4 linked regions of the Lepisosteus oculatus genome follow. The main gene of each other region encodes a partner of the protein of the gene in region 4 in a complex. Links are inferred from orthologs where the notes say so. Each region holds a gene or a part of one and is shown on either strand. Other genes may lie near its edges.

What was found.
Region 1: meaf6 (region 4) and jade3 share a complex: the UniProt entries of both Homo sapiens proteins name them as parts of the HBO1 complex. The link is inferred for Lepisosteus oculatus from reciprocal best matches to the Homo sapiens genes MEAF6 and JADE3.
Region 2: meaf6 (region 4) and brd1a share a complex: the UniProt entries of both Homo sapiens proteins name them as parts of the MOZ/MORF complex. The link is inferred for Lepisosteus oculatus from reciprocal best matches to the Homo sapiens genes MEAF6 and BRD1.
Region 3: meaf6 (region 4) and kat7b share a complex: the UniProt entries of both Homo sapiens proteins name them as parts of the HBO1 complex. The link is inferred for Lepisosteus oculatus from reciprocal best matches to the Homo sapiens genes MEAF6 and KAT7.

What each region holds. Positions count from the first base shown.
Region 1 is NC_090710.1:21,975,169-21,982,057, reverse strand, and holds the start of jade3 (protein Jade-3), read left to right. Parts: upstream 1-3,873; 5' UTR 3,874-4,111; intron 4,112-4,139; exon of another isoform or gene 4,140-4,788; intron 4,789-6,889. Other genes in the region: rp2 (protein XRP2), read left to right, coding at 320-405, 697-780. UniProt on the Homo sapiens protein: Scaffold subunit of some HBO1 complexes, which have a histone H4 acetyltransferase activity.
Region 2 is NC_090702.1:35,425,530-35,432,411, forward strand, and holds the start of brd1a (bromodomain-containing protein 1), read left to right. Parts: upstream 1-3,865; 5' UTR 3,866-4,428; intron 4,429-6,882. UniProt on the Homo sapiens protein: Scaffold subunit of various histone acetyltransferase (HAT) complexes, such as the MOZ/MORF and HBO1 complexes, that acts as a regulator of hematopoiesis.
Region 3 is NC_090723.1:8,372,112-8,379,766, forward strand, and holds the start of kat7b (histone acetyltransferase KAT7), read left to right. Parts: upstream 1-4,631; 5' UTR 4,632-4,819; coding exon 4,820-4,834; intron 4,835-7,346; coding exon 7,347-7,494; intron 7,495-7,655. Other genes in the region: progranulin-like, read left to right, coding at 348-596, 1,638-1,784. UniProt on the Homo sapiens protein: Catalytic subunit of histone acetyltransferase HBO1 complexes, which specifically mediate acetylation of histone H3 at 'Lys-14' (H3K14ac), thereby regulating various processes, such as gene transcription, protein ubiquitination, immune regulation, stem cell pluripotent and self-renewal maintenance and embryonic development.
Region 4 is NC_090706.1:12,445,101-12,452,802, reverse strand, and holds the start of meaf6 (chromatin modification-related protein MEAF6), read left to right. Parts: upstream 1-4,694; 5' UTR 4,695-4,769; coding exon 4,770-4,859; intron 4,860-5,826; coding exon 5,827-5,942; intron 5,943-6,034; coding exon 6,035-6,122; intron 6,123-6,304; coding exon 6,305-6,350; intron 6,351-6,651; coding exon 6,652-6,841; intron 6,842-7,702. Other genes in the region: uncharacterized protein, read left to right, coding at 1-921, 1,250-1,316, 1,577-1,695.

The sequences.
Region 1 (6,889 bases), on a different chromosome or scaffold from region 4:
CTTCTTCCAAGAAACACCTGCATGAGATTCTTGCATAAGTAGCAGTAATTACTGCCTTCCAAACAGGCTAGATGGGCCAAAAGGCCTTCTCTCTTTTTTACTTTTCTTATGCATTTAAAGAAGAATTGAGGCCTTTGAGAGGTGTTAAAGCAATTTTAGGAAAAGTGACTTTTTTTTTTAATCATTGCCTTGAATGATAAAGAGGGTAGAAAACTGCTTCAAATGTCAAACCTGAATTTAGGGTGGCGTACAAGCATCTGTGTTGTTCTGTGTGAAGAGTGTCCTTTGCGTCCCTTGATCTCGTTTTGCTCCGGAACAGGCCCGGTGGTGGCGCTGGAGTTCAATGGAGAAGGCGTTGTGGAGGCATGTCGCCAGGTTGCAAATGAAGTCTTCAGTGGCACCAAGGTAAGTCAGCACTGTGTGGTAACAGCTACCAAATAGTTAGCTAGTAGATATTGCCTGGGCAAATATGAAATATTAATTTGTTGTGTGAAAAACTCACTGTACATTAAAAACATTGTACATTTTTATAGCACAAATCTGTAAGTTGTGCAGTTTGGGATCTGGAAGAAATATTTATAGCACTCCTACCGTTTCTGGGAAACATCAATCCACTTGCTATCTAAGGGTGTGGGTGTGTTGTCTGAGATGAGGGTGACTGTTAGGTCATCATATTGTTGCTGTCTACTCCCCTAGGTGTTCGTTTCTGAAAGCAAGAACTCGTCTTCAAGAGATGTAGACAATTTCTTCAACTTTGCAGACATGCAGATGGGAATGTGAAGACTGCGAATCATTGCAGGCCTCGGGTGTATTTTTTTTTTTAAAGTATCACCTTTTCTAAAACTGGCAGTATTGTGGTTTTAATCAGTCTGCGACCATGTAAAATTTTCTAGGTTGGTGACAGATTTTTATTCGGAAATAACCAAAGCCGCACATATTATAACAATGTAGATTAACATTAGCTCTTCTTAAAGAGTTAACATTCTATTATTGACATCTGTATGTGCAGTAATATTGACATGTCTGTTTTGTCTAGCCCTTTCTATTTTATACTTGTAATTGTTGGACCAAATTAGGGACGTATCTCAAAATGAACAAAATTCTTCACGTGGATACAGTAATTAAGGTAAATTCAAACAAAATGTATGTAAATTGCTACATTGTGGATAGAAATGTATTGGTGACAACACAATTTATCGCTTTTTAAAATTTGCTTACTCAAATTATTTATTATTGTTGAAATGTGTTTTGCAAATGACATGTTTAGTGCACTGGTAGTTGCATATTTTTGAGAAAAGACAATTTTCGTCTAATCATCCACAGTACTTTTTGGCTTTTGGATTTCATACAACATTTGTATAGTTATGTTTGTGTAAATATTTTTGTGAAAAACCTGGATTTTATTTTAAGCTTCAACATTTTATCTGTGAGATACTGCTGGTTATTAATGATTTCATCTTAAATTCCCCTTAAAAAGGGGGAAGATTGTGATGCCTGTAACAGGTTTTTTGTCAGATCTCAAGTGAATACAGTGTGAGAAGGATGCTTTTTTGTCATAATCATGTTTTCCAGTACATATTTTTTTCCAATGTCTTAATTTTTTAATATCACTGGTTAGTACTTTTTCACGAATACAAGTACAGAATGTACATTACACTAACATGTAAAATATTTAATTTATATTTAAATGAATGTCTTGCATCCATCTCGCAAAAGCCTATTAAGTTTGAAATGCTGTTTTAGTGACCTTTTCTGTATCATAGTGATGTACTCGGCAGTTTTGAAAGGAAAATTATTATTCGACTGAAAGGGCTAAAAGTTTTCTTTTTAAAAAAAAATATATGAAAAGTGTGTGGCTCATTTTTGTGACCAGGTAGAGCTGTAAACTTAATTAAAAAAAAAAGTTTTTGTACAACTAAATGTTACATATTTGTATACATAATTTTATAGTATTAAATGTCAAATGTGATTATAACAACACACCTTCCTGATCTGTTATGTTCACGTTGTGGCAGAATGTGTTTAAGATTCCAGTATTAATTTTGCGGGGAGGGATTCTCGAAGATCAGCGATATTAGAATGTGCACAAATGAAAGAATCTAGATAGTTCACTATGTCAAGAAGGGGTGCCATGGTGATTAGCACTGCCGTCTGAGCTTTTGGGGTCCTGAGTGCAAGTTTGGACTGGGGTACCTTCTGTAAAGTGTCTGCATATGTACGTTTCCCTTGTGTCCATGTGGGTTTTCCCCAAGTGTTTTGGTTTCTTTCCATGGGCCAGAAATGTGCTGCCCATCTTAAATGTCCTCTTTTAAATTCTCCCTGTATGTTGCTAAATGTGGTTGTTCCTCCACTTCTCACAGTTACTGGTAAAAGAAAATGTATTTCAGCAAATTAAGAGGGGTGGGGAACTTCATCATCTTTAGTTCCTGATTTGAACATCTTTTTTTATTGCCAGTTGTGTAACTCACTCGTCCTTCAGCGCGGGAGTACACTAATGACCAGGCCAGAGCTCCTCTGACCTGACCAGTCTTTCAACAGCAAGTGATGTTCATCAAGTGAACATCATGGAATTTTAAGATGCTCTTGTAGACCTGCATTGCAGACGGGAGATGTCGGGGACAAACAGAAATGCTAGTGTGCAGAGTTCAGTCCATGCTCTTGAACATGATGGCCTGCGCAGCTCTGGTCATGTAAGTGGACAGCTTGCAGCAGCAGCACAACATGCTAATGTCAAACCACTTTTCCACATAACTGGCTTCGTGCCTGAAGACCAGCAAGTAGGAACATTATTGACTGTGGATAGCAGCTCCCTTATCGTCTCGGAAGATGCTGTGGCTGTAATCTTGCCATTTGAGACTGCGATACCAAAAGATCTTTGGAGGGTGGAGAAGATGGGTGATTCAGTTGGAATTTTGAGGTCCCGAGTTACAGTTTCAGCTGTAATAACTAGATAAGACTTCTCAATCCGTGCTGAAGAGCTGGCTGTTATGTAGTAAACTTTACTCTCCGATGACAGTCTTGTGAGCCGTGACATCAGGTAACCATCTATCAGATGCTAATATATAGGGGTTCAAGGACTCCAACATTAATACCACTCTGCAACCTTGATCCTGTGATGGTGCATCGTGGTCTTCACAGTAGAGGTGTCTATTCTGCTTGCATTCAAAGTTCATGCCATCTGGGTTATCTTTGATCAATGCTCTGACCTAAACTCCTTTGCCTATTACATTCGTGTTAGATGCTTAGAGGTAATTTCAGTCATTTCTGTAAGAGGCCCCACCCAGATGCAATATTCGGGGACTTTACTTCAAACTACTGATGTAAATCAGAAAAATCTCAGATTAACCACTTAACTTGTTTGGAATTGACTAATACAATTTTATATGATGTTCTTTGTGGATACGTCATGATTTATTTGGGAACGTCATGTTTCTAGGTAGTGTCTGAATTCCAAAAATCTCTTCAGGCAGTGACTTTGGGGTGAACAGTTGTATGTTCTGACCAGAAATAAACTTTGCATTCACACTGCTTTACCAGAAGAACAGATACGAGAATCTTCACAAAGGTTTTACACTTTTCTGTGCCATTATAGTTGGAAAATATAAAATTGTTGGACTTTTTTTTGTCTTTTGTGGTGGTTATATTTACACTAATTGACGTACACATGATAAAATAGGGACAACTCTTAAAGAGAGGCAGACAAGTAGTCGACAATAATCTTTTTGTAAAAAAAAATGTTACTAGTAACTTAAATCATGTGAACAAAAAAAAAAAGATTTTGCGATGGAAAGAGTCGTATTCGGCAACAGGACTTTAAATAAAGTTGATTTAAAAGAGATCGGCAGTGCACGGCAAGCAGGAGGGTAACGGGGAGAGAAAAGGCGGAGTCTAAGACCCAGCGGTAGTGCTGATAGTACAATAGAGCTGTTGTGCTGCTGAGTGGAAGGGAGATTGCAGGGCTGGGAATGGAGAGAGTGGAATGAAAGGGGGGAAAAAAAGGAGAGAAAACAGCGCGATTGAGCCCTGGGTCGGGTCAGTGTTGAGGGAGAAGGCAGTACGACGGGGGGAAGACGGACCCCAAGCCCCCATCGCTCACGCCGGGAGGGAAAAGGTAAGGAGCGCGCTGCAGGAACAATGCTGCCCGTGTCTTCTCAGTGCGGTGTGTGCCAAGGCTGGCTGGCCCCGCTGAGCTTTCTGCACGCAGGGGCCTGCTTTCCCCTCAGTCGGCATGGCCTTTCGCTCTTGTCCTTCGGGAAATGTGGAGTGCGGCGCCCAGCAGGCGAGCGATAGGACGGCGCCGGGTGAGCCCGGCGGATGTCCCGCTTTGGATCCGAGGGGGCTGCGAGATCGGTAGACGGTGATGTTGTGGAGTGTGCTTGAGGAAGTGCCGATTTCTCTGGTGCGGCGGTGGTGGCGCCCTTGTTTGCTTTTCGCTCGGTTGTGTGTCGTACTCCCGAGCATGCAGCGAGACTGCCGTTTGGCGCCAAGGCCACTCGATTGCCGGGGAGAAAACGAAGCGTTTTGTAAATGGGTGGGCCAGGACACCGACTCCTTCTTTCATTTCCTTTTTTTTTTTTTGTTGCTTAGGGTTTGCTGTTACGTGTTCCGAACTGGCAGGCGGTCACTTTAAACCCGCCACCGCACTTAGGTTACACAAGCCGAGCGAAATTTAGCCTCTATATATAATGAGCGGGGATGGTAACTCGTTGTGGGGACAGAAATAGGTTGTGCAGCAGCGGAGCGCAAATGGTCACCAACTCAAAACGAGTTCCTTCCGACACACTTGTGGTATGTTTTGGCTAGATTCCTCACTAAACCACTAAAAGTTTTTTTGTGTGTCATTAACCCTTTGTCAGAGACATGGTTATCACGATTCGCCCTGACCAGCATCCCTGTGTCGCCTGCGAACTGGTTTCTCTAATTTGGTGTGCGAAGCTCTTGGTCTGTTGTGATTCTCTGAACGTGTCCGGGCAAGTGTTGGATGGTATATATGTATTTTTTTTCCCCTCCATAGGTCATCTACGGAGAAGCAAAAAGTCGTGCTGTAACTTGTAATGACAGTTGATGTCAATCAAGCTGCATTGCTCGTAGGCCACATGTTTTCTGAGAGGTGTGAATTGAAGCACTGTCGAGGCATGGTGTTTAATTCTCGGATCAGTTTCCGGCCCTCTTGCAGCATTGTCGTTAGCGTTCTGGGCTCATGATTTGACATTTATGGGGCGCAGATCTCTGGTGGGGTTGTGCTGTCGAGTCCTTGAGCCAGGAAGGATTGCTCGAGTAAAAGGGTCAGGTTTCAGCCAGAGTTGTACAACTTTCATCCGTTTGTTTTGGAAAGCAAAATAACTTTGGCTTCCTGTGCGCTGCCTACAAACCTTCATGTAAGCCAACAGTTATGATATTGACTTACATTCCCACGTGGGATTTAATTAATTAGGCTGATGCTTTTATCTAGAGAGATTTACATTTTTACCTGTTTTCACAGCTGTGCTTTTTTCCTGAAGCACTCTTGAGTGAGGTAGTCTGCACAGGGGTACAGCACCAGTTCCTAGTTTTGAACCCATAGGAGACGGAGACAGACAGGATTTCATTTAGTTCACGTGCAACATTCACAAACACAGTCTTGGAGGCATTTACCTTTTGTCATAAATCTCTTTTACATAATTTGTTCTCTTTAGATATGTATGCATTGATATAGAAAATATGATGAAATATAATTGATAAGTATAAAACATTATATTGAAAAAGAAAAGGGGGAGACACTAGGTTTCAGTTATGGGACAAGTTTAAATCAAAGCTGAGCTGACGCACACACACCTTGCAGATCAACAATATATGACAGTAGCTTTCTGTCAAAATATTCTTGTTTACCCAATTACATTCCACCATCCAGTGTTGGACTTCTAATTACTGACTGTTGGGAGAATTGACATTTAGATTTAACCAGGCTTGAGTCCTTTCAACGATAATTACAGCAAATGTCCTGCACTGGCACGGCGCTGCAATAAGGGACCGGTTCTTCAAGGTGGCTGGTGTAACTGGGCTGCTGCTGTTAAAAAAGCACCACTAGAAAAATGTGACGAAGTGTACTAAATTGAGACAGCGTGGCCAATTTCTATTTAGGTAACGAGTCTTAATATGTCACAGTTTCATCTCAAGCGTCTTAAGTGTTGAGGTTTACTGTGTTATATGTTCTTTTTTGAAGTTTCTGGATACAGCTCACAGATATAACTGTTTAACGCCCCCTTTTTAGTGAAAATATCAATGATTTGCTTTTTGGTGATCAGTTTGTTTTTTCCTTCTCGGAATATGTTGCAACCTGGACTCCAAAAATCTCTGGGCCTCCTCTGAGCGGTTCGGCTGAGCGCGAGTTGGGTTCGGTGGTTCAGGCATTGTCATGTCGTGAGCCAGCAGTGGGCAGGATCCTCCGGTCAGTGGCGCGCTGTTGGTGCCAAAGGTGGGCGGGCCAGAGGAACCTGCATGGACTTCCTCTTTTCCCGTGTGCGGTGGCATGGTTTGTAGCCGTCAGCCAAAACTTAGCACACCTTACGATACACACGATTCCCACAAATTCTGGTGGGTCTAACGCAGAAATACTTAACAATTCTCCATTTAGAAAAACCCTCAAGGAATCGGGGCTTGTTATTCACAATAACGTGGTCGTTTTAATTTTTTTTTCTTGGCTCGCGTGTCCACTGCGACATGGTGGTAAACAAAACTATCATGTTATGTCCAGGGTTGCGACTTCATAAATATTGTGGGCAAAAAAAGAAGGATTCTTACACGGAGCGTCTTCCTAGTTTTAAAGTAGTGGCTCTCTAAAGTCGCTCTTGCCTTGGGAATTGAACTGGGTAGTTACTGATTCCTCTCAAATCTGCATGTTGTTTTTATC
Region 2 (6,882 bases), on a different chromosome or scaffold from region 4:
CATAAGCCTCATGCTTTTAACAGTTACAAATCATTCTGAAACAAATATCACTATGGTGAAATGACATATTCCACCACATTAACATCGCCCTCTCTGGTATGTTTTGTCAGATCTTCTATAAAAACATTGCATTCTGTAAAAAAAATAAGAATATTAAGTAATGACACTATGTTGTGCATCAATGATAACCACAGTATGAATGGCACATTCCTTTTTATTTTAACCAACACACTGTATTTCTATATCATCAGGTTCCTTTGACAACTTAAAACAAGGTTCTTGGCTAGTTCAACTACTTTGTGACATATTCACCACATGGTGCTATTACCTTCGTAAAGTACTATATAAATTTTTTCAACTTCTACTCAGTAAAGTGTTTAGCTGAAAGTATCTGCAGTTATTTCTTTACTCTTTGAATTATGTATATTTGAAGCTCAAGGATTAAGAAAATGTTTTTAGTTTAAAATGAATTTGGAATACTATCAAACATTCAATTAACACTGTTAATTAAGACGTCAAACACTACAGTATCCCGAAACACAACAGAAATATAATTAATATAAACAGGGACAGCATTTGACAGGGTGAATGGGTAATAAGCTATGAATACAGATTCCCTCTGTAGAAATAACTCAACTTTAGCTCCCTGCTGAAGCAGTGCACCATGTGAACACAAAAGTAAACTTTTCTTCAGTCCACATTTTCACTGATCTATCAAAAGGGGATCCATTACCAGACTAAGAAAAGTCAGTCTACAGCCTGGCTGAAACAAATGCAATACACTGCCAGTGGTTTTACTGTCAGGGGATAGGAGACCACAAGTCATAACTCAATCTTCACGATTTATGAATATATACAAAACAGACTATTTTTGACAGAACTTCACAATAAAGTGTTTTTTTGTCTCATTCCTCTATATACAAAATATACTTTCGTAACTACCATGATGCACCTCTTCTAAATCATTGTGATATGAATACCTGATATGAATTGAGGACCTGTACATTGATTCTCCTTTTTATAGCTCTGCACTTGTGTATAGTATGGTAATAAGCACTGTATAGCACTGGAGGGACTGTATGTACAGCACCAGTTTCAACCGAGTTCGTCTTAGCATCTTACATGTGATTGGAGAGTATCGTATTCCAAGGCATTTACTGAATAACTTAGTACTGAACAAGTATATAAACATCATATTCTAACTGTGATAAGCCACATACATAACACGAAAACAAAAGCAGACTAGATTTATAAGAAAATACATCTACTGGGTAGCTAATGCACATTTACTAAACCGCACTTCTAGCCATACGTTTTATTAGTGATACCACCACGATTTTTCATTTTGCACTGAACATACGAGACAATTAAAACCTTGCATCTCACTGTACGCTCCGATTTAATTTTATTTTGCGTAATTGGCGTTCGTATTGCTATAATTAATTGACAGATGAGCAACTCCACGTTGATTGTCAACAGACACACGACTCCGTATTTTAGGGTCTGACTTATAATACCGTTTTAATGAAAAAACGAGGCTTTAAAAATACTGCCTGTCAAAAGACAAAAAGGCATAAACAGCTTCGGCATCGTATTAGATCGTGGTCTCTTACATATACCGATCGAGTGCACCAAACTCGCATACATACTCTAGTGCAATGAGAGTGGAAAGTACAACGCGATAAAAAGGGGGACAGGTACAGTACACAATCTTTGGGGTCTGTAATAAAACGCGGAATAGCCTACCTACGCAAAAAACATGAACTGTAAGGTTTCACCCGGAACTTCAACAGAAAGGTTTCTTTTTTCTCTGGACAATGTGCGAGTAAGCAAAGAATAACCCTCAAAGTACATATACAGCGGACTTTACATAAAGTCCTCTACACGTGTAGCTACTAAGCTCTTAAAATACCTGAAACGTTTAGGTTTTAACCAGGTGAGAAACGTCAAGATTTTCAACTTTTCCGGTTTAATGTTCTTTTAGGGGCACAGTGACATCATTTTGCCATAATGCTGTAAACTGGATCATTTTGACTTGGAAAAAAAATGCTACCTATTCTGCATCTATCAAGACAAAAGCAAAGACGACTGGATCAAGGTTGTTTTAATCCGCGATTGTCGTTACCTTCACCACAGCTCACCTTTATACGAAAGGGAACATCCTTTGAATAAGACATGAATCATTTTTTCTGCTCTGCCCAATGCATTGATACTGTCAGCTACCAGTTACCCGAACAAAAGAACACAAGGCCTACCTCCGTCACACCACAGACAACAACAAAAACACTGGCGAAAACACGCACTGAAATTTACCTTGCTGTGACAGTGATCCAAAAAAAGAAAAAGAAATCCAAAGTCTAGTAAACTTCACTGTATGACATTTCAATTTCCTAAACGAGACGACCAGATGGGGTTCCTTGCTTTCCTATCCCAGTACAGGCCCGGCCATGTTAGGCCAAACAGGAACTCAACCTGGTGAGGCAGAACCAGATCCTGGCAGCAGAACACTGGAAGAACCAGCCGGAGAACCGGATCAGCCCAACACCCTCACACATCTCCACTGCAAGCCAGCCTTTCAGAGCAGAGCCGCCGAAAGCGCTACGCACGTACCTACCTTGATGCCCTGAGATGTAGTACAATCAGTTTCGGTAACCAAATAGTTAAATTAAAAAGTGTTTAATTGAAGTGAAGAGTCAATTAGTTCGTCGCTTTGTCTCCCCTGCAGTTAACAGCAGCAGCTCTACAGCGTAGGACGGAAGGAACGTGCTTTTATGACGTCATAGGGTTGAAGGGTTTCCAAAATGGCGCCGTTGTAGTAAAAAAAGGAAAACAAACCCTTTTCCTGAATGCGCGGCGTCTGAACTGTATAATTACCCATTCTTTGATATTACGTTTTGCGTTTTTGTTTCAAAATGATCTTATGCCCTTTAGCCGAATGGCCACTTGCTATCACCCATATGTCTAGTGAAACAGATATTTATATTCGACATAAACTTAAGATTGATACAGTTGAGTATGTTTTGTTTTCCTGTCTCACTCGGCACTAATCTGAGGTCATGTTTTTATAGGCCAGATTTGCGCAGCCAGCAGAGACGTGCGTTCTAGGAGGACTCCTGCGTAACGTCACTTAGTTCCACCCGGAGAAATCTGTGCAGATTTTGCGCAGAGCTGAGAAGTTCCTGCAAGAGACTGTCTGCGGCAGTGAACCAATAGGATAACGCAGAGGTCAAGAATGACCGGCATTTTAATCGCTCTCGAGCAAAACTACCGGCAGTTGCATTTATTTGCATTTCGTGTCGTCTTCCGCTGTGCAGCGGTGCCGTTAAGTTTGGAATAGGTTGTTTCTGTAGTTTAGTAGTTACCTTTGACGTCAAGTATATAGGATCCACAAGCGGAAAGCTCGGGCGAAATGAGAACACAGCCCTGTTACACGGGGTTTCTTGACCTAGAGGGTCACTTCCAGGGGTAGGGATGCGCCATTAGGTGGGGCAAAGAAAAGCTTTGAATCTGCATTTAATTGTCGTGTTTTTAGGTTTTGTCATGTAGGAGTCTTACTGCAACTATGTGAAATATCACATCTGAATACTTTAAATTAGATGTTGTAAACATCATAAAGACTGGTGTAACTTACCAGGTCAAAAGAGCTAGAAGGATATCTATTGTCAGTCAATGGAAATGAAATGCCTGCTATTACTGTTAAAGCATATAAATACATTGGTCAGTTCTAGCCCACTTCGGTATTACGCTTCAAGTACTGCATTCTGGTGAGATTTATTTTTTATAGAATGCATGAAGACGGAAAAAAAACGAACATCTGATTAATATGTAATACAGACTTCTCCAAATTTTCTTTCACTTAGTTTGTGGTTTTATATACAACGCTGAAAACAAGAGTGCACGACTCTACCAGCGACAGATACAAATGCGTTATTAAATTAACCAAGCGTTTTCGTTTTTAGAGAGCAGGATATATTAGTACTTGGTGTTTCCGATATTACTCATACTACCACTACTACTCCAGCGTCTTTTCGCATCGGAGATACACAAAGCAACTTCCTGACCCCACACAGACGTACAGTCTTGAGAGGCGTGACTGCGTCGTGCGTGGCGGGTGGGCCCTCCACTGGAACCGCATTGTTGTTGAGGAGAGAGGCTCGGGGCAGCTGCTGTTCGATATTAGAAAGCGGACACTTCGCTTCACGAATGGTCCTTTTTAGTAAGAACGGCGCGCTGAGGACAGAACTACGTTCCAATTCCGGACAGTTGTCGCGGAGCCCAGTCCGTATTCTTCAAACTAAGAGCTGGAATCTGTGCTCGAGCGGCGGCCGTTGGATGTGATTGTGCGGAATCACAGCCGCTCCGCAGGCCACATCGCCATTGCTTTCAGCTCCGCCGCTGTCTGGATAACAAAACCTTCGGACCAGCGAGGTATGGGCGTCTTACATTGTTACGCGTAGAAATCCGTCTTTCGCGGAGGTGAAATCCACCCTGGAAGGATGAGGATCGGTTTGCGTGTGGCCAAAAACGAACTTTTCGTGCGAGTACTTCGGTTTCTTGTTTTGTTGGACGCCATATTTGCGTTTTCTAGTTTTATTATTGTGGACTGTCCCAGCACCCCAGGCCGCTGGGAGGCTCCGCTGGAGCGTCTTGGTTTCAACAATAGCCTCAAACTGCACACCCAGTCAAAGCCAGCGTATGTGGTTCGTTGCGGGTGAGGTCCTAGCGGAGTCGGATTAAAATAGTTAACTCCAGGGTGTTGAATTCCCATTGATTCAAACAGGCCCGGGAAAGTGTTTGGTGCAGTGACGTCACAGGCCCGGGCAGTGTTCCAGTGCTACAATATTTCTTTTATACAAGTTCCTGATTTTGGCAGTTAGGTAACAAAGGAAGTTCGGTAAGCTAATTGCACCCATTGTAAGTATGCTTCTGTTGTGTTGAGAAACTTTTTTACTCTGTTTTTAAGATGTTGTCTTGACGACACAAATGGCGTGTGTGTGTCTTTTATGTGGTGTATAAATTGCACGTCTGAAAGGTGTCAAAATGCGATTAATGTTTCTCCATAATGGTGCAAATCCTAATGAATTACTTCTGGCAGCTCTTCACGTTACCGGGGTTTTTATAACAGAGCGTTAAAAATGTGGTTTTATTTTAGTAAAAAGTCTTGTGTGTGCAATTTCGAAAAGTACGTTTAATGATGATTGAAGTCCTATTTATTTAACCTGACTCATTTGTAATGAATGGTAGTCTTGTTTTGAAGGTAAAATGCTTTGGTTCGAAGGTTGGTTTCACCGTAGACGTATGTAGTTGTGATTTATTTTTAGGGGAAATGTCTGTCCCTCGAAAGGTTGCCGACTTAGCATTGTGTGAAGTAAAGCCTTTAACCCCTCTGCAACAGCCCCACTCTTCTGCAGACGTAGGGTTTTCACGAAATTCAGTTCTCCTTCCGTCAATAGATCCTGTTTACGCTGGTTTGGTGAAAGTAGGGAACGGATAAAGTTAAGTGCAAGTTTTGTTTTCTACGAAAATAATCAGAGAAAACAACCGAGACTGAAACCAAGAGCATAGTCTTGGGGGATGTTACAGCTGGAACGCAGTTTACGTTGTTTGGATGTATATAATTAAGGGTCCAGGTTTTAGATTAATCGATAGATCAAATGAGTTCAGTATAACGAAACTGGTATCTTATTAAGTGATCTAAAACCAGCAGACCATTGGAATATACAGTGCTTAAAGAATGTCTGGCGCAAGACCGTGTTCTGCGTCTATTTGCTTTTAACTGTATTTCCAGACAGTTTTGACTAAGTCATATCTCCTTAGGGAGATATCGACCTAATATCATTTCTGAGACATGTCCTCAGTCAGGGTTATCATTAGAAGAACAGTTTGTGACAATTGAATTTGTGAAACTGTGGTTTGAAAACAGAAGTAATTTTAAACACTAAGTGTAATTTGCGGTTGGTACATTGGAGTAACAAGCTGGAGCAATGGTCCGTGAAAATTTTAGTATTGGTTTACTTACATTGCTTAGTGTTGTTTTTTTCTTCATTTTTCCAGGTCAGTCAATTTCCAACAATTCTTTTTATCAGTATTTTAGTTGCAACCATAGGACGATCTTTATAATCTCTGTCCATTTAAGTTAAATGTTACAATATGCTACAATCATTCATTATTTTTGCCATTAAAAAGACGGTCTGAGAGACCCTCTTACATGCAGCTTGTTAAAATATAAGCTTAGTTGATGTAAAGATTTTTATGTTTTCCTGTTTAGATTATATTTTTTAAGACATCCGCTCTTCCAGTTTCAGTTGGATCTTATACCAGTTACAATTTAAGATTTTGTTTTAAAAAAGTTCAACTATTCATAGAGCAGATCAAGAATACACTGCTCAAAATAAGATAATTCTATGTAGGCAAACTCAGTGAAGTTAATACATTTAAGCATAAATCCTTGAAGTGTCAGTACTTTTTCTTCTGTCAGGTATTATGCAATGTGTATCTTGCCAAATATTTTCCAGAGGGGAAAAACAGCATAGATGCACAGGTTGTAGCATGTAAGGGTGTGTTGGTTTGTCTTTTAAGTGACATATCTGGCTGCCAAACATGACAAGAACCGGAAGATGTAATGGAAGGGACAGAATAGTTGGTAGTAATGCTCCTGCAGTTGTGCATGTGCCACAGATGTTGCTGAGGGTTCAGTGATATTCCATGCTATGGTATTAGAGAAATTTAAAGCCTTACGTTTGTAGATGTATTAAGAACAAGTTTTCTTGCCATGAATTTGCTTTACAGCACAGATAAATAAATGCTCTTTCAGTGGTGGTCCTGAGTTTTAGTTTTTGTATAACAAAAGCAGCAAGTTCTTTAATCTGAAGTCATAAAGTT
Region 3 (7,655 bases), on a different chromosome or scaffold from region 4:
CAAATGATCTGAAGTTTAGTGTAAAAGTTTTGATCACGTTGTTTTCTGGCCAAGAATGTGCAGGCTACCCGCTAGTGATATCCAGTAATGATATGGGGGGCTTCAGAATAGTGTTAACCATGTTACAGGTTCTGGACCACCACAAGAGGAGTTTAAATTGCCCGTCCCCTATAAATAATTAAGTCAATTTTGAAGGATAATTGACCACTTTGATACCAATGCAATTTAAAGTTTGTTTTTAATATTGCTTTAACGTGTTTGATTTTTGTGTTCACCTGTGGGTGGGCGTTTTGAGGGTCATGTTCGACTCATCCACTGACGACGTGCTGCGCTTTCTTTGGCTTCAGGGGGTGTGCTGCTCGGATCACGAGCACTGCTGCCCACAGGGCTACTCCTGCAACATCAAGGCCGGCACCTGCGAGAAGCGCCACGAGGGCGTCCCCTGGGTGTCCCGGAGCTTCCCCGCGGTCCTCGTGTCCCCCTCGGAGCAGCGCCCCAGGAGGGACGTGCAGTGCGATGAGGAGCATCGCTGCCCCGACTCGCAGACCTGCTGCAGGACCTCCTCCAGTTCCTGGGGCTGCTGCCCTTTCCCCAAGGTACCCTGACACTTCCAGTGCAGAGCGCATCTCGGGAGTTGCAGTATCCAAACATTTTCCGTGTCTCGCACTCCAGTGCAAATGCAAGGAGGAGAGGGGCAGGAAACTATAAATGTAAAGAAAATGACTTGCAGTTGTTTTCTGAAATACCCTTGTGTAAGAAAGTCACGGTGAGAACAATGTAGATATATATTCGTGCAAGGTGTTCATGTTCTTGTGCACATGTGCTTTCACTTTAGCACTTCAAAAACTTTAAAGTGCAGTTTTAGGCCTTAGTCTAAAAGGAGTGTCAATATGACATCTCACCATCGCAGTGGTACACCTTACTGGAATGTGGGTGCTTGTTGCTTACCAGCCAAACAGCTCTCCAGTTTACATGGTGCACCATGGAGCTAAATTTATGTGTGCATGGGGAAACCATGTGTCCCAGGGCTTGAGTCAAACCATCACCTCAGACTGGAGCAGTTCTTGTGCATTCTCTTCTAGCAGGCACTATTTGCAGTGCCCTCTGCTGCTTACCATTACTGTCCAAAGATGGGACCTTTTTCCTTAATTCCCCACGAATCAAACATAATTGCTCAGCAGTATTGCTTTCACTTATATAGCGCTTTTCTGGACACTCCACTCAAAGCGCTTTACAGGTTATGGGGATCCCCTCCACCAGCACCAGTGTGCAGCCCCACCTGGATGATGCGCCAGTACTCTCCCCAAACACCAGCTCTCAGTGGGGAGGAGAGCAGAGTGATGAAGCCAATTCATAGATGGGGATTATTAGGAGGCCATGATTGGTATGGGACATTTGGCCAGGACGCCGGGGTTACACCCCTACTCTTTTCGAGAAACACCCTGGGATTTTAATTGACCACAGAGAGTCAAGACCTCGGTTAAAATGCTGTACGCGTGGGGACGTCATGTCATCTTAATTTTTAATTCCCCGCACTCGGCCGATGAGTGAGGCTGCAGCAGTATGGTGGCACTGGGTGCGCTTGTGCTGTTCAGCTCTTCTGGGCTCCAGCTGACCGAGCGGTGGTGTCTCTGCAGGCCGTGTGCTGCGACGATCAGAAACACTGCTGCCCCTCTGGATACTCCTGCGATGGCGCTGGAGGGTCGTGTGTCCGGGATGGGCGTCTGACCTGGGATATGTTCTTCACGGAGAGGGAGAGAGCCTTAAACCACAACACTTTGTAAATCTCTTCTCGGCCTGCAGCACATATCCACACCCTCCATAATCGGCAACGTGTTAAGGAGGGAAGGGGAATGTACAATGAGACATAACTGACCTGTTATTTGTGACAAATACTGTTTATTTGGTAGGGGGTCTGCGATGAAGTGGAAACAGATTTAAAATGGGGGACATCAGCTGGAACCTGCTGAATGATTTTTTTTTTGGAATGTTTGTGCTTTGCAAGACTTGCTTTATTGTGCTCCACTAAAGGAGCTTCAAGCCTGTACCTTTTTGTGTTTAACGATGTGCTGTGACCTGAAAAGTGACGTTAGATTTCTGCAAAACTGACCACTTCATTAGATCAAGGGCCCTTGCCTGTGTGCTCTGCACTAACTGACATTTCAAAGCAACTAGATTCACCCCCACATCTTTGGAATAAAAGGATTCAGATTTCAAGAGAATTGATTTTAAGTGAAATTTAGTTTTAAAGAACGCGTTGTTAAACCCAGTTTTTCTATGCAGTGAGATAATAGCATAATGGAGGAGGATGATGTCGAACTCTTCTCGGGGCTTTACAAACCATTGGCAAGCGGAGTTTCTGCTGCTTGGCCAGGTGCCTGCAGGCTCGCGAAGACATCATGCTGCTTTTCCAATTGGCACTGCCTCTTGTTGGCTACTGTGGTGCCCCCTGCAGACGAGCATGAAATTGACACCCTGAAAAGACAAACCTGTTTTAAGAAACGTATGAAGGGCTAGATGGCGGTGATGAAGCAGCTGTTCTAGAAAAAGAAGCACACTTTTGTAGATGCTGACACAAGGTAGCAAAATCTAATTGTCTTCGGCCTTGCAATACTGTCTGGTACAGAAGAGGATTTTTACACTTATTTGACCCAAAGTGAATTGTAAACTGAGGAAAAACCAGGGAGAACTGTTCTCTAGGAATGTTTTACTGAAGCACTAACCACATTTCTCTCTGGAACTAGAAAATGTGAACTACAAAAAGCATTTGTTTTGTCCTTTTGTGCGGGTTTGGTTTTAATTGTACTCTATCCTTGCAAACAAGCCAGAGAATCACAACATCACAGTTCAATTATACAGTCCACTTATAAATCCCTTGATACTTGCAGTCTGCCTGTAAGCATAAAATCCGTACGATTTTGTAAATTTGCACTTTTTTTTTAGTTGAGTAGTGTGAAATTGAATTTATTAATGTTTTATCTTTGACTTCAAAAGGGGGCATTAAGGCTTCTTTTTTTGTGGCCTTCTGAACAAGAACTGATTTAGACCCCATTTATTATTGCTGTAAATCTCAATAAAACCTAAATGCAAAGAACCAGCTTTGTGCCAATGTGCTTTAGTTTTGCTTACGGTTTTAAAATATTGATCAAACATCCGTTACCATTAATGCAACAAGTGTAACTTCATAATAAAATTGGTGCTCTTTTTTTATTTAGTGCACTTTTACAAAAAGGTATGGAATTTTCATTCCAGTAGATAATTTGTATGACAAGAACATCTTGTTCATACCCATAAGCATAAGGGAGATGCTGTATTTCAAAGTGCATTTGGGATGTGTTTAAAAGATTGTGCTACATAAGAATTTACTTGCACCATCTTAATGGGACCTTGCTAGAACTACCACTGTTGCTCCTCATATGTCCAAACGTGGTTTTGTACATGCCGATTTCAGAACTGAATAGAAGGGTTCTGTCTTTGTAGACTTAAAACACCTGTGCTTTTTGTATGGGGAGATATGAAAGGAAAATCACTTCACGGTAACTAAAGAAAAGGCCAAACAGATTAAATAAGAAAAAGAAAACTCTTTCTTTGCAATTCTTTAACTTCAGCATCTTGTCCTGTGAACCACATATCTAACCAAGCATCATGTAGCTTTTCCATTAATCTTCATAACTAATACACACCACTGGATTCTCCCTTCAGACTATTTGCACTGGAGGCTTTGCCCTGCTATCTTGATTGAAAAGGGATTTTACTCTATTAAAGACAATTGTGTGTGTATATACAAATTAAAATAAATCATTTCTATAAGTCGTCTTGTTCGTTCTTTTGCTTTAATGACGATATTTGTAATTTTGCTTCAGATTTAAGGCCAAGAAAAAAAGACAGCACCTTCTATAGAAAAGCATGTGTAGTAAACAAAATGATGTATTGAAGATGAAAGTTATTCCTTAAGACATAGGTTTTGTTACACAAACAACACATTCACAACATTTTGGATAGGCAATACATGATCACACGTGTAGGTTTATAAGTATATTTAAGTCAAATATTTCCAGCTGATGCTTGAAGGAATTGAGAGTATTGATGGAGTATCTTAGCCTAAATAGATGATGGTACCTAATTTTTTGGACAAATGTAGAGCTATGAGTAGGTAATTCTGGGATCTGGACTTGTAAAGCATGTTTACCAAAATGTCATTTTCACTACACGACTTGGGTTTCTGGTGTTTTTACTCCTACTGCAAGTGTGCTATTTTTGTCACTTTAAAGACTTGGGAGTAACAACATCCATTTGTGGGTACAAAGGACACCCCTGGGACAGCAGTATTCAGTACCTATGTTTAAAAACAGACGTGTTTTCAATACAACATAATAGTTAACTTCAGGAACACAATCCCATTTATCATTTTTCCACGAATTTATATTCACTTAAGACTTAAAATTTTTTTCTGAGCCAAGAAGTAACCACCTGCCTGAACATACACCCCTATTCGTCTTACCTCTACCAAGATGGCCGCCTAATGTACTACGTCAAGGTCGCTCTAGCCTAAATATTCCTCTCGATGTTCCTTTCCGAGATTCCGAACAAACAAGACCTAATCACGTGAGTCCCCTCCCCTCGCCACAGTAGACCGGAAGTGCGGGTGGGGGGGGGAAGCTGTGGCCAGTGTGTGGCGCGAGTTCCTGCCAGTCTCTTCTGTGTACATATGAATTTTGGAAGTCGCGGCGCGTTTTCCATTAATACCTGCAACATTTATCGACCTTGAGATTCACTGCTGCCCTCGCAAAATCAACGCCGCACTACCGCCAAACGAAGTATGCCCCGCAGGAAGGTAAGAATGTATCTGTCTTTGAAGACGCCTGAATTGTTTTATTTTTAATGGTCATGGGCAAAAAGCCTTTTGCACAGCCCTCAGGACTGTCAGGGCTGTGTTAAAGATGGTTGCCTTGTTTTGGGGAATTTACGTGCAAATTGTATCCCGTTTCGTCTTCGCCGACGCTTACATTTAGGCATTTCCACCCAAAAAACAACTTGGGGATTCAAAATATTTTGAAGAAAATCGTAAAACACGCCTCCCGTCGGCTTCCATCTTGGCTTGCTCGGCTGGTCGCAGTTGGCGCCCCCGCGGCTGAGGAAACTACTAGAAGCCGAGGCTGCAGTCGGGGCCTGAGGATAAGAACGGAACCTCCGCCAGCTGTGTTAGGATTGGTGGATCTGCGGGCTGGGGGGCTTGTTCATTGGTGCTGGAGGCTGCCTGTCAAGGATTACTCCCGCCTTCGATCTCTCCTGATTGGTCGGTGTGTTTTGGAGCGCTGTAACTGGCTCCTTTTGCTAGGAAGAGCCTTTGTTATGGAGTAAGCGGGGTTCCGTTATTGTAGTAGGTGGTGGTTTGTTTTTTGCGGAAAGGATGCACAAGTTATGGAATTCGTGATTGGTGACCACTAAACGTTTGTTTTTTCTGTCCTGAGCGTTTTCTACCTCGTTTAACCCATCTATGCAAAAGGTGCACTCTGGGATCGGTGCGGGCGGAAGTGAGCAGCTCCCGGAGGCAGCGTGTTTCTTGTGCTCCCAGCAGCTGGTTGTTACAGTGTGGGGGGGGGGTTCTAGACGCCCACATCTATCCGGGTGGGGTTGTGTTGCTAAGGATACTGCTCTTCCGGCCAAACATTAGCTGAACAAGTTGTGCATTTCAGTAAGGAAAGGTAAAAACAGATTACAGTCGGTAAACATGACGTGAAGTCTCCCCTCTGTATTTGGGAGAATACTTCTTGTGTGAGTTGTGCGGACCTTTTGCAGCGTGAAATGATTCACTCTGAATTTGCGGACTCTGAACGCACTGGCACAACAAAGAAGGAAAACTTCCCTTTCTCCACCCGTTGGTAATTGCGGAACTTTATAAGTGCTTTTCCGCTGGGGCTTTCTGGACTCGATCCTTGTTCTCGGATTAGGGGAGTGTCTTTCTTGTGTACGCTATTGGCGAGTAAATCGCAGGCCATATTCGTTTACACGGTTACCGTGGTAACCGCTACCCACAATCCCATTGTGCTGAGTATTTCGGTTCACTCCATTAGTGACAATGTACTGTTGTTACTCTTTGAGACCAACCGGTCACAAATTCCAGTTGCACCACACGTACTTAATACAGGGCGATGTGTTAGTTTATTCCTAGGCAAGGCGAGATGGAACCTGTTTTCAATGCGGATGTCGCAGTGGGCTTGGCCAAGAATGTGGGAATAAAAATAAAATGGTTTAAATTAAATTGTATAGAACATACAGTAGACTCGCCACGCATATCTCTAGATCTCTTGGTTTGGCTGGGTTTGATCAACTATTTTGTTATAATTATTTCATCAAGTCAGTTGAGCGGCAACGGATATATAAATCGTTGCATATTTACATTCGCTCTGTTGCTCTGAATATAGATGTTCAGGAGCTACAACCATAAAATTCAGGCTTCTATCTCTTGTTTCTGGTCACTTATTAAAATTTAGTTCTGGGTTAACAGGGCAGCGGTAGTCCGACTATGACGAAAGAATGTGTTTAAATTATAGCTGCTGGAAAGATTTAGGCAATCTTGCAGAGGCTGACACCCAAAACATTGATCCGAATCGACCGAACCCAAGAGAAATTCGCCCTGTGCGCTCGGGTCTGAAGACACCGTGACATAAGGAGGCACTTCATGTTAAATGTTAAAGCAAAATTCTTTAAACGGGTTATTCTCTCACTATCGTGCATCCATTTTAAACAGGTGCTATGTTTTGTGCTACGGCAGTTGTACAGTAGGTAACACTAACCTCTGGACAAGAATTTCCAAACTAGTGCCCTAGTATGGTGACACTGAGAGACCGCAGTGTTGAAGGAGGTGACATGAGGATTTTGCTTTCCATTCAGATTAGAACACAAGAAATATAGCAAACAAGAGGTGGCCATTTGACCAAGCCAACCAGTGTAAATCGAGGCATCGAGGCAGCAGGTAGCCTGGCCCTGTCCATTACCCGAGAGAACTATTAACTGTGTGTGGAGAGAAGGGAGCGAGGAAGCAGAAAACCTGTGGGAAATAGAGGGCAGAGGACAGTATCTCAAGACGCTGTGAAAAACGATGTCATGTTAAAGTAAAGAGTGGGATTTGCATCGGAACAAGATAAATTGTTGCTATGTAACTGTTACTGTGTTGAAACTTAATGAGATGTGATCATATATACTGTTTTAAGTATGTATATTAATGTAAAGCTCTCTATTTTGTGATTCCCTGTATTTGTGAAAAGAAAATAAAGTTCTTAAAACTCAAAAATGGGAATGTGGTGGATATACCTGTATAGCTAACCATGCTTTTTTTGGTGTAGAGGAACGCAGGGAGCAGCTCTGATGGGACGGAGGACTCGGATTTCTCTGCCGACCTGGAGCACACGGACAGCTCGGAGAGCGACGTGAACTCGCGCAGGAACACGCGCCTGACCCGCGCCTCCGTGCGCCTCAGCCAGAGCTCACAAGGTACCGCCGGGCCCGGCTGCCTTTGAGGGGGAACCAATCGACCCGACAGAGCTCGCTCCAGGAAGGCACGGCGCGAATTGGGCTGTGCGCCGAACTGAAGGCACCCAAATTGCTAGGCAGGGTCCGATGGCTAGAGAATTGCCATTGGAGTTTCTGTAAGG
Region 4 (7,702 bases):
CAACTAAAACAAAATAAGTCTGTGATTGCCCACCAGAAGTCTTCTACCAATATGAGCACAAAACACCCTACTGATCCTCCTTCCATATCCTTGCCCTTAGGTTTAGTAGAGGAAGTAGTATCGTGCCTTTTGCTGAAAATAGATCCTGAGTTTTCAAATTCACTGGATCCCTCTTCCAAGCCAGATGGGCTGCCAAGGCTTCAGTTTAGCCAGATGGGCTTGCATATGATTTACCAAACTTTGGCTGCACAGATGAATGCCCCTGGGGTGTCTGTAGTCCAAGAGGAGGGACACAACACCACCTTTCCACCACCTGACAAGATTAAAAATGCTGTGAGCTGCATTTACAGAGAACTTGTCCAGAGAATGGGCTCAAAGTTTGACCTTCAGTTAGCAGTGGCTTCCCAAAGCCCGGCTGTGTTCAAAATGATGATAGCACATGTGACCCGCGAAGTCTTAAAAATGCTGGTTTCAGGGAGCGAATGTTCCAGTCCGTGTATCCTTTCCTCGGGGCCTGCTGGCACTTTTGACCTGGACCCAAAGGAATCTGAGATGAGCTGTGACAGAGGCACAGAAGAACTACCTTCTGAAAAAAGCTGCTGCACAGCTGTGAAGGAGGCTGTAGAAATACATGAAAGCTGTCTGCAACCTACCAGCCGTAGTGAACTTTCTAAATCAGACACCTTTTCCTCCACAAACCTGAAGAGTCACTCTGGCCAGAAAGCCTCCTGTCAAGTGGGTTCTGCAGCTGTCGATGTTGCCCTGGATTCAGTAGCCTTTCACAGTGCAGCTCCAGGCTCCGTCCCAGCTCTAAAGGAGAACAGCTCAGGCTATGCCATGGCTGCTGAACCACTGTCGTTCCGGGAGAGAGCAAGAGATGAAAAGAGAAAGCCTGGAAAAATGAAGGAGGAGGCCAAAAAGGTAAGCACAGTCATTGTTTTTCTTTGCCCTTGTGCACAAGCCATCCTTCGGATACAATAGGCTGTTCCTCAGAAAGTTTATGATGATCTGAACTTTAAAAAGGACTATAACATTTTGTTGGCAGCATGTGGAGAAGCTGCAGACACAGTATAAAAAAGTTTTTGAAGTTTTACATTTCTCTACTTAACTACCCAAATGGCACACCCCAGTAACTGATGCATAGCCCCGTAGTATTGAGGACTTTTGGGTAGGAACTTAATACAAAGAGCTTTTCCTGGTATTGCTTGTGTTGGAATAATCTAACCTCATGTTCTTTGTCTATACACAGGCCAGCCAGAAATCTCTGAGCCTTGATAAAGGAACACAATATAGTGAGGCTGAGGGCCACCAAGCAGGTGAGTCCCCCAGAAATGATAGCATGTTCCACCCGGTCATTTACAGATAAATGGAGATTGCTCATCATTCTATGGAATGTTCTCTTTTTGTTTAAAAATCGATGTTGTTATTGTGGAACTTAACAACACTATAACAACTGAATGAGTGAACTGATGTTTTTAAAGTGCATTAATGATTTTTTTATTTTCAGCATAAACACTCAAGCTTTCTATTGAGCAAAATGTTAATATGGAAGAAATGTTCTGCTCTCTCTTTTCAGATTCTCCATCTCCTGCAGTGGAAACTAAAAAGTCCAAGAAGAAACGTAAAAACGTCTTTAAATTATTCTCACAGGCAATGAGGAAACTGGTTTGTGTGAAGCCAGTGTTGGATGATTGATCTTCACAAGAAGTCGTATTTTAATATATACAATATTTTAGCATTTTTAGGAAACAAAATCCATTTTTAAAATTTAAAGTCACGGAATGAAAGAATGGGTGTGAGGCAGCAGGAGTCAATGGCCCAACGTCATCAGCATGACCAGAGTCATTAAGGACAATCTTTCAACCAGATGTTTGAAGCAGCTTACAATGATCCGTACATGGTGTATACTGTGTTGGGTAGGCAGTAATATATATTGTAATTGGTACGTAATAAAAAGGGATTTATGAAGTATGACTGTCTTGTGTGGTTTGTTGGTGCAGTCTTGGTTCTGGGAGATATATATCTATCCTTTTGCAAGAGAAAAGGGTCCTAACATCCTTTAAAATTGTTAGAAGGCGTAGTTGGCTATAAAAGCAATCAAGGTTTCTGCATTGAAGGTTCACCATGTGTGACACTAAAGCATGCCTTTGTATTGCGGTAGGAAACTCATGTGAACACAGAGAGAACATGAGTAAAAGCCAGGCAGATAGCAGCCCAGGTGTGGGACAATTTGAAACATAAAGAAAATGGTTCTCTCACCACTGATCGCAGTTATATTAATGAGCAATTTTAACACAGGATTACTTACCTGTTATGTCGACATGCAGTGTTGGTTCATGTGACACTGTCGTGGTAATATGGGGATACCGGGGTCTGGCACAAAGTGGGTCTTGATGGCTCACTCCCTCCCGGGTTCTCTGCACGACAAGACAGAAGTGCTCGTGGGTGAGAGAGAGGTCTTAGCCTGCGTTTGGGCACATGAAAGGTGGGACATGTACCTGGCCATACATGCAGACAGACCACCAGGCACTTACAACACTGCTCTCTACAACAGGCACTGGCCACCCTAAGCCACAGCCTCTCTTCAGGAACTTCAGCAGACCTCAGGACAGGACCCAGTTCTTTCCCAGCTCCACACTTCCATATACTCGGAGTGGCCCTCCAAGGTCTCCACTGACCTGAGCCCCTTCCATCATGTTAAAGATGAGCTCTCCTGCTGGAATGAGTCATGTGTCATTTGGGGCACCTGTGCTGTTATTCCTGCCTGCCTTTAGGTGCGAGTGTTGCAGATGGCACACGAGGGCCACTTGGGAATAGTCAAAGTCAAACAGCAGTGTCTGGATCTGGTTTTGTGGCCAGGAAATGACAGAGACATCGAAACACTTGTCAGGTACTGTGAAGCCTTCCTCCTGGGACAGTAGGAAGTAGGAAAACAGAGAGCCCCGCACCACATCCTCTCCAGCCCCCAGACTGGCCATCCGAGCCCTGGGATCTTCTCCAGCTGGACATCTGTGGGGAGCTGCATGGTGTCTTTCCCCATCACAGTTTCTTCATCATGGTTTCTAATTTGCTCTTGAAATGACTGGAAGTGGCCTCCACTAGATCGGTCACCACTCAGGCAGTCATTGACTTCCTGGATTCCCCCTCTGCCCACTCTGGTTTTCCAACCAACATCACCAACGACAATGGGCCGCCATTTGTGTCCACTGAGTTTGGCTGACCAGGACATACGACACACTCGTAAGGGCCTTATACAACCCAACGGCAATCAGTGGGGTGAACGACTGAATCAGACAGTCAAAAATGGCATCAGGGCCCAACTAGCACAGGCCTGCTCCTTCCCAACTGTGTTCCTCCGCACCCTGCTCCACTATTGGACTACGGCCACAGAACTGGCCATTATACAATATAAGAAGCCCAAAGTCTCTGAAAAAAAAGTGCTTAAATGAGCAAATTTTCACTGTCTAAGACGTGTGGGAATGCTAACCCTAACCCTAGCTGGGGTTTCAACAAAGCAATCCTGCAATTTGTTCTTAAAGCCCTTCAGTCATCAGATTTGAAAATGTTTCCCAAACCAAAAAATATGAGTCTTAACCAAACCAAACCACTGAAAAAGGCCATTGGAGACTTGTATTCTTCAATAATGTGTCTTCTTTAGGTACATTTTCAATCTGTGGAATGGATGGTTTTGATACAAGCATGCGTTTCAGGTCAGTTTAGGGGTTGGTTTACAAGAGCTATTAAGTGTTGACCCAATTTTTACATCTACTGTATACAGAAAATTCAAGGTACTTAACCCTCACGAACATTTTGATCTTACTGTTTTATCTTTTATGTGTATTCCTATCTTACTTCCCAAACTTTTTTTTTACGATTCTCAAATAACAAGTTTCGTAATATATGCCAAAACTACCTAAAAAGCAAAAATTTAATAAATAATGCATTTGCCATTAGAAAATCTTGGTATCTTTACACTTGAAACATAGATTTCCAGAATTCCAGCATGATAAAGGTATTTTTACTGGGTGGGTAGTCTTTGACTGAGCAATGTAGCATTATAGGAATAAGTAAAAAAAGAGTATAAATGCACTCACAGGTGAAAGTTTCTGCTCTTCCCAAGTGTGAAACTTACCTGTGACATTGAGTCTTAAATACAACATTGAGAAGAACTATTGAGACTTGACGTCTGATTGTATATGTATTTATTTCTTAGCAGTCATCCAGATTGAGATACTACATATGAGATTTACATTAGGTAAGGAGAAGGAACAATCACGTATTCTCAAGAAGAATAAATGTAAATGAATTTTAGGCTATTTTTAATCTGCAAGAACAATCTATGAATAGTTTCAGACAAAATGAAATACTGTATAAAGAGTATACAAAGCAGTCATGAAAAGAACCTGACGTGAATAAAGACCATAAAGGAAATCACGCTTTCAGCTGAGAATTAAGAACAATGCGATTTGGATGAAAATGAATAAAGGGAAAGATGAAAAAACATTTTAGTCATTTTATTTTGTTAACTGTTTGTAATGATAATATTCTACCGTTTAGTGATAGTTTTTAATGTAAATATCTGCGGGTGCAGGAATAATGAATGGTTTTCTCTTAATCGAAGGTGTGACCATCAGCCAGATCTGACGTAGATACTCACGTGTTCGCAGGTGGAACGCCCCCTTGTGGTTAATTCGTCACAGCACAGGTAGTGTCGGGCGTTTTGCTGCCGTTACGCGCTTTGTTTCTCCTATCCGCTCCGAAAATCCAACATGGCGATGCACACCAAAGTAACTCCTCCGCAGATTCCAGATACACGCAGGGAGCTGTCGGAGCTGGTGAAGAGGAAACAGGAGCTCGCGGTAAATCCTTTTTTTTACATTACCGTCTTTTAAACCGTTTTTCGAGTCGCCATTGATCTGGGTAAATGTGTAATTTTGCTAGAGTGTTCTAAGCAAAACGTCATGTTTACAGGCGTATGTTGCTGCACTTGTATTGCGTTCGTTTGAGGAACGTACGTAACCGACCTTAGTGAATAGCAGCTCCGTCTTGTGCCAAAGAAGTGCCGGGTGTAGAGGCCGTGCACTCCGGTTAGCAGATTTAGGAAAATCCGTTTATTGTAAGGCTTAGAGGCCTTTTCTACACCGCTAATGTTAGTTCCTGGCGTGAAGGAAGGGGACTCAAGTCTCGGTTCTGTGCTTTGGATGTAGGCTTGTTTAAGAAATAATTAACGGCTTTCAGCAGATTAAACGATGACTTCAAGCATTCAATTTGGGAATTTAGTTGTTACGATACATAGTAAGGTGATGTTAGCATCGGATATAGCAGCTTTGCTTGGTGTGTGTGGTAATGAGGTCGGCATCATTTGATATCGCATCATCCTGACAATTTTAAGTATAACACGGCATTTACCTCAATGTAAACTAGTTACCTTGGTGCATAAATGAAATAGCACTTCATAGCGACTAATGCATCATGTCACAGACGAATGAACGACGAGGAATCTTGTTACATGAGAAATTCCAGATCTTTTTAGAATTATGCAACATTGAATGGCTCTCTAGTCGCGTTGTCAAACCCGATACCTTGGATTCTTTCAATAAACGACAGGATGAGGTCGGATCAACAGCCTGCTAACAATCAAACACGCTAGACGAGAGAGGAAACCCTTCTCCCGAGGAATGTTATCTTCTGCTTACACCCAACCCCAAATATAACGACATTGCGTGGATTTCAGTAGCCCTTAGCTTATATTGCCCCGCTGGAGGGTTGCTGTGGAATTGTAAGACGCACATTAGCTGGCGCTCATTTCCCGCCCCGATCCTGCAGGAGACGCTGGCGAACCTGGAGAGACAAATCTATGCGTTTGAAGGCAGCTACCTGGAAGACACTCAAATGTATGGCAACATCATAAGAGGATGGGATCGGTACCTAACCAACCAGAAGTAAGATCGGTTCAAGTCTTTCTTCCGATAGCGATTTTGTGCTAAGCTTGGCTTTGCGTCACTTTTTTAATACCTTTTAACCTCTGTTGCAGAAATTCCAACAGCAAAAATGACAGAAGGAACAGAAAGTTCAAAGAAGCAGAGCGGCTCTTTAGCAAATCATCTGTCACATCCGTCGCAGTAAGTTAAACGCTTGTATTTCATATGAAGTTAGCAAACTCGTCAGGTTTCTTTAAACGTAGATGGAACATACTTCATATATTGACGAGATGTTAAGCCTCTTGTGAAATAAAGTGATGGAATTTGTTTGAGTTCTTAACATTTCATGCTTTTAACGTTTGTTGTCCCTGTTTCTTTTCCAGGCGGTTAGTGCTCTAGGAGGAATACAGGACCAACTTATAGAAAAAAGTAGGCATTATATTTCTGTCCTTGTGCTCTTCACAGTCATCATTCCTATCTGTAAACACGACTCGGTAGACATCAAGGATATTTGTCATTTTCATTAACACAAAATGCACAGCTACAAGTTAGATAAGTCTAGATCGTTCCTATTTGATTTCTGTCAGACCAGCCAGCAGTAATTCTGTGAAGCTCTTTTCCGGGTTCCAGAGGAATTTGTCTTGCCCTGTAAATGTCATGGGAGCCCCTGTGGTGTGGTGATGTGCATTGCTGCTTCACAGTAAGGATTTCCTTAATTTTCTCCCATCAGGGGAGCCAGGCAGTGGAACGGAGAGTGACAATTCCCCGGATTTCCAGAACCAGGAGAACGAGCCCAGCCAGGAGGACACGGAGGATATGGATGGGCCCTTGCAGGGGATGAAGCCCCAGAAGGCTGCCTCGTCCTCTTCTGGCAGTCACCATGGCAACCACAAGAAGAGGAAAAACAAAAACCGGCACAGGTATCCACTTGTGATGTGTTAAAACTTTTGTTTCACTTAAGCTACAGTTAATGTGATCATTGTAATGGAGCTTTTGCACAGTGAGACCGGTTTCGCAAAGGTCATGCAGGGAGAGTGTGGAGAAAGAGCTAAAACTTTCTGTCAGAATTATTTAATTGTTTAGAAAGCGCAGACTTTAACTTTGTCACAGACATTTGGCAATAATTTGAGCATATTTATTTTTTACGTTTGAAAACGTAGTATTCAGTGTGTTCTATGAATGCTTCAAAACCAAAATTGCGAAGTCTTTTTTTCATGTAAATTTTATATGTTCTTAAAATTATTTGCAGCAAGACATGACCTTCACCCCTACTGTAAGCAGTCAGAGGATTAGTTGAATGTTGAATTACTTGCTGAAATAATTTGACGTATAAGTACTGGCAAAGGTTCTGAACAAAAACGCACATGGGTCAAAGTATTAGGAACCCCCAAACAATGCCATCCACCAGGCATTCAACTCTGCTGTGTGAACCCTGCTAACATTAAAATCTGCTTGAACAAGACATGGCATGTATTCTGATCTTGTCCGGTATCCCATTCTTCACCTGCTTTGCCTTCAGCCAGGATTGTCAGACTGAAGCGTGGGATTATAATGCACCAGCCCTTTTTACATCTGGGCATTGCCCTGGCCAGTGGGTATAGCCATGCATGTCCTGAGACCAAGTGCATACTCCTTTAACTAGGGGTTCATAATATTTTGGCCAGTGAATATGATAAATACATAGATGTACATTGTTGTTACAGTATACAGTTGAGGAGATGATTTAACAAATAAATTAACGACTTACTAGTGATCCTTAACTTAAATACCTTTTGTTTCTC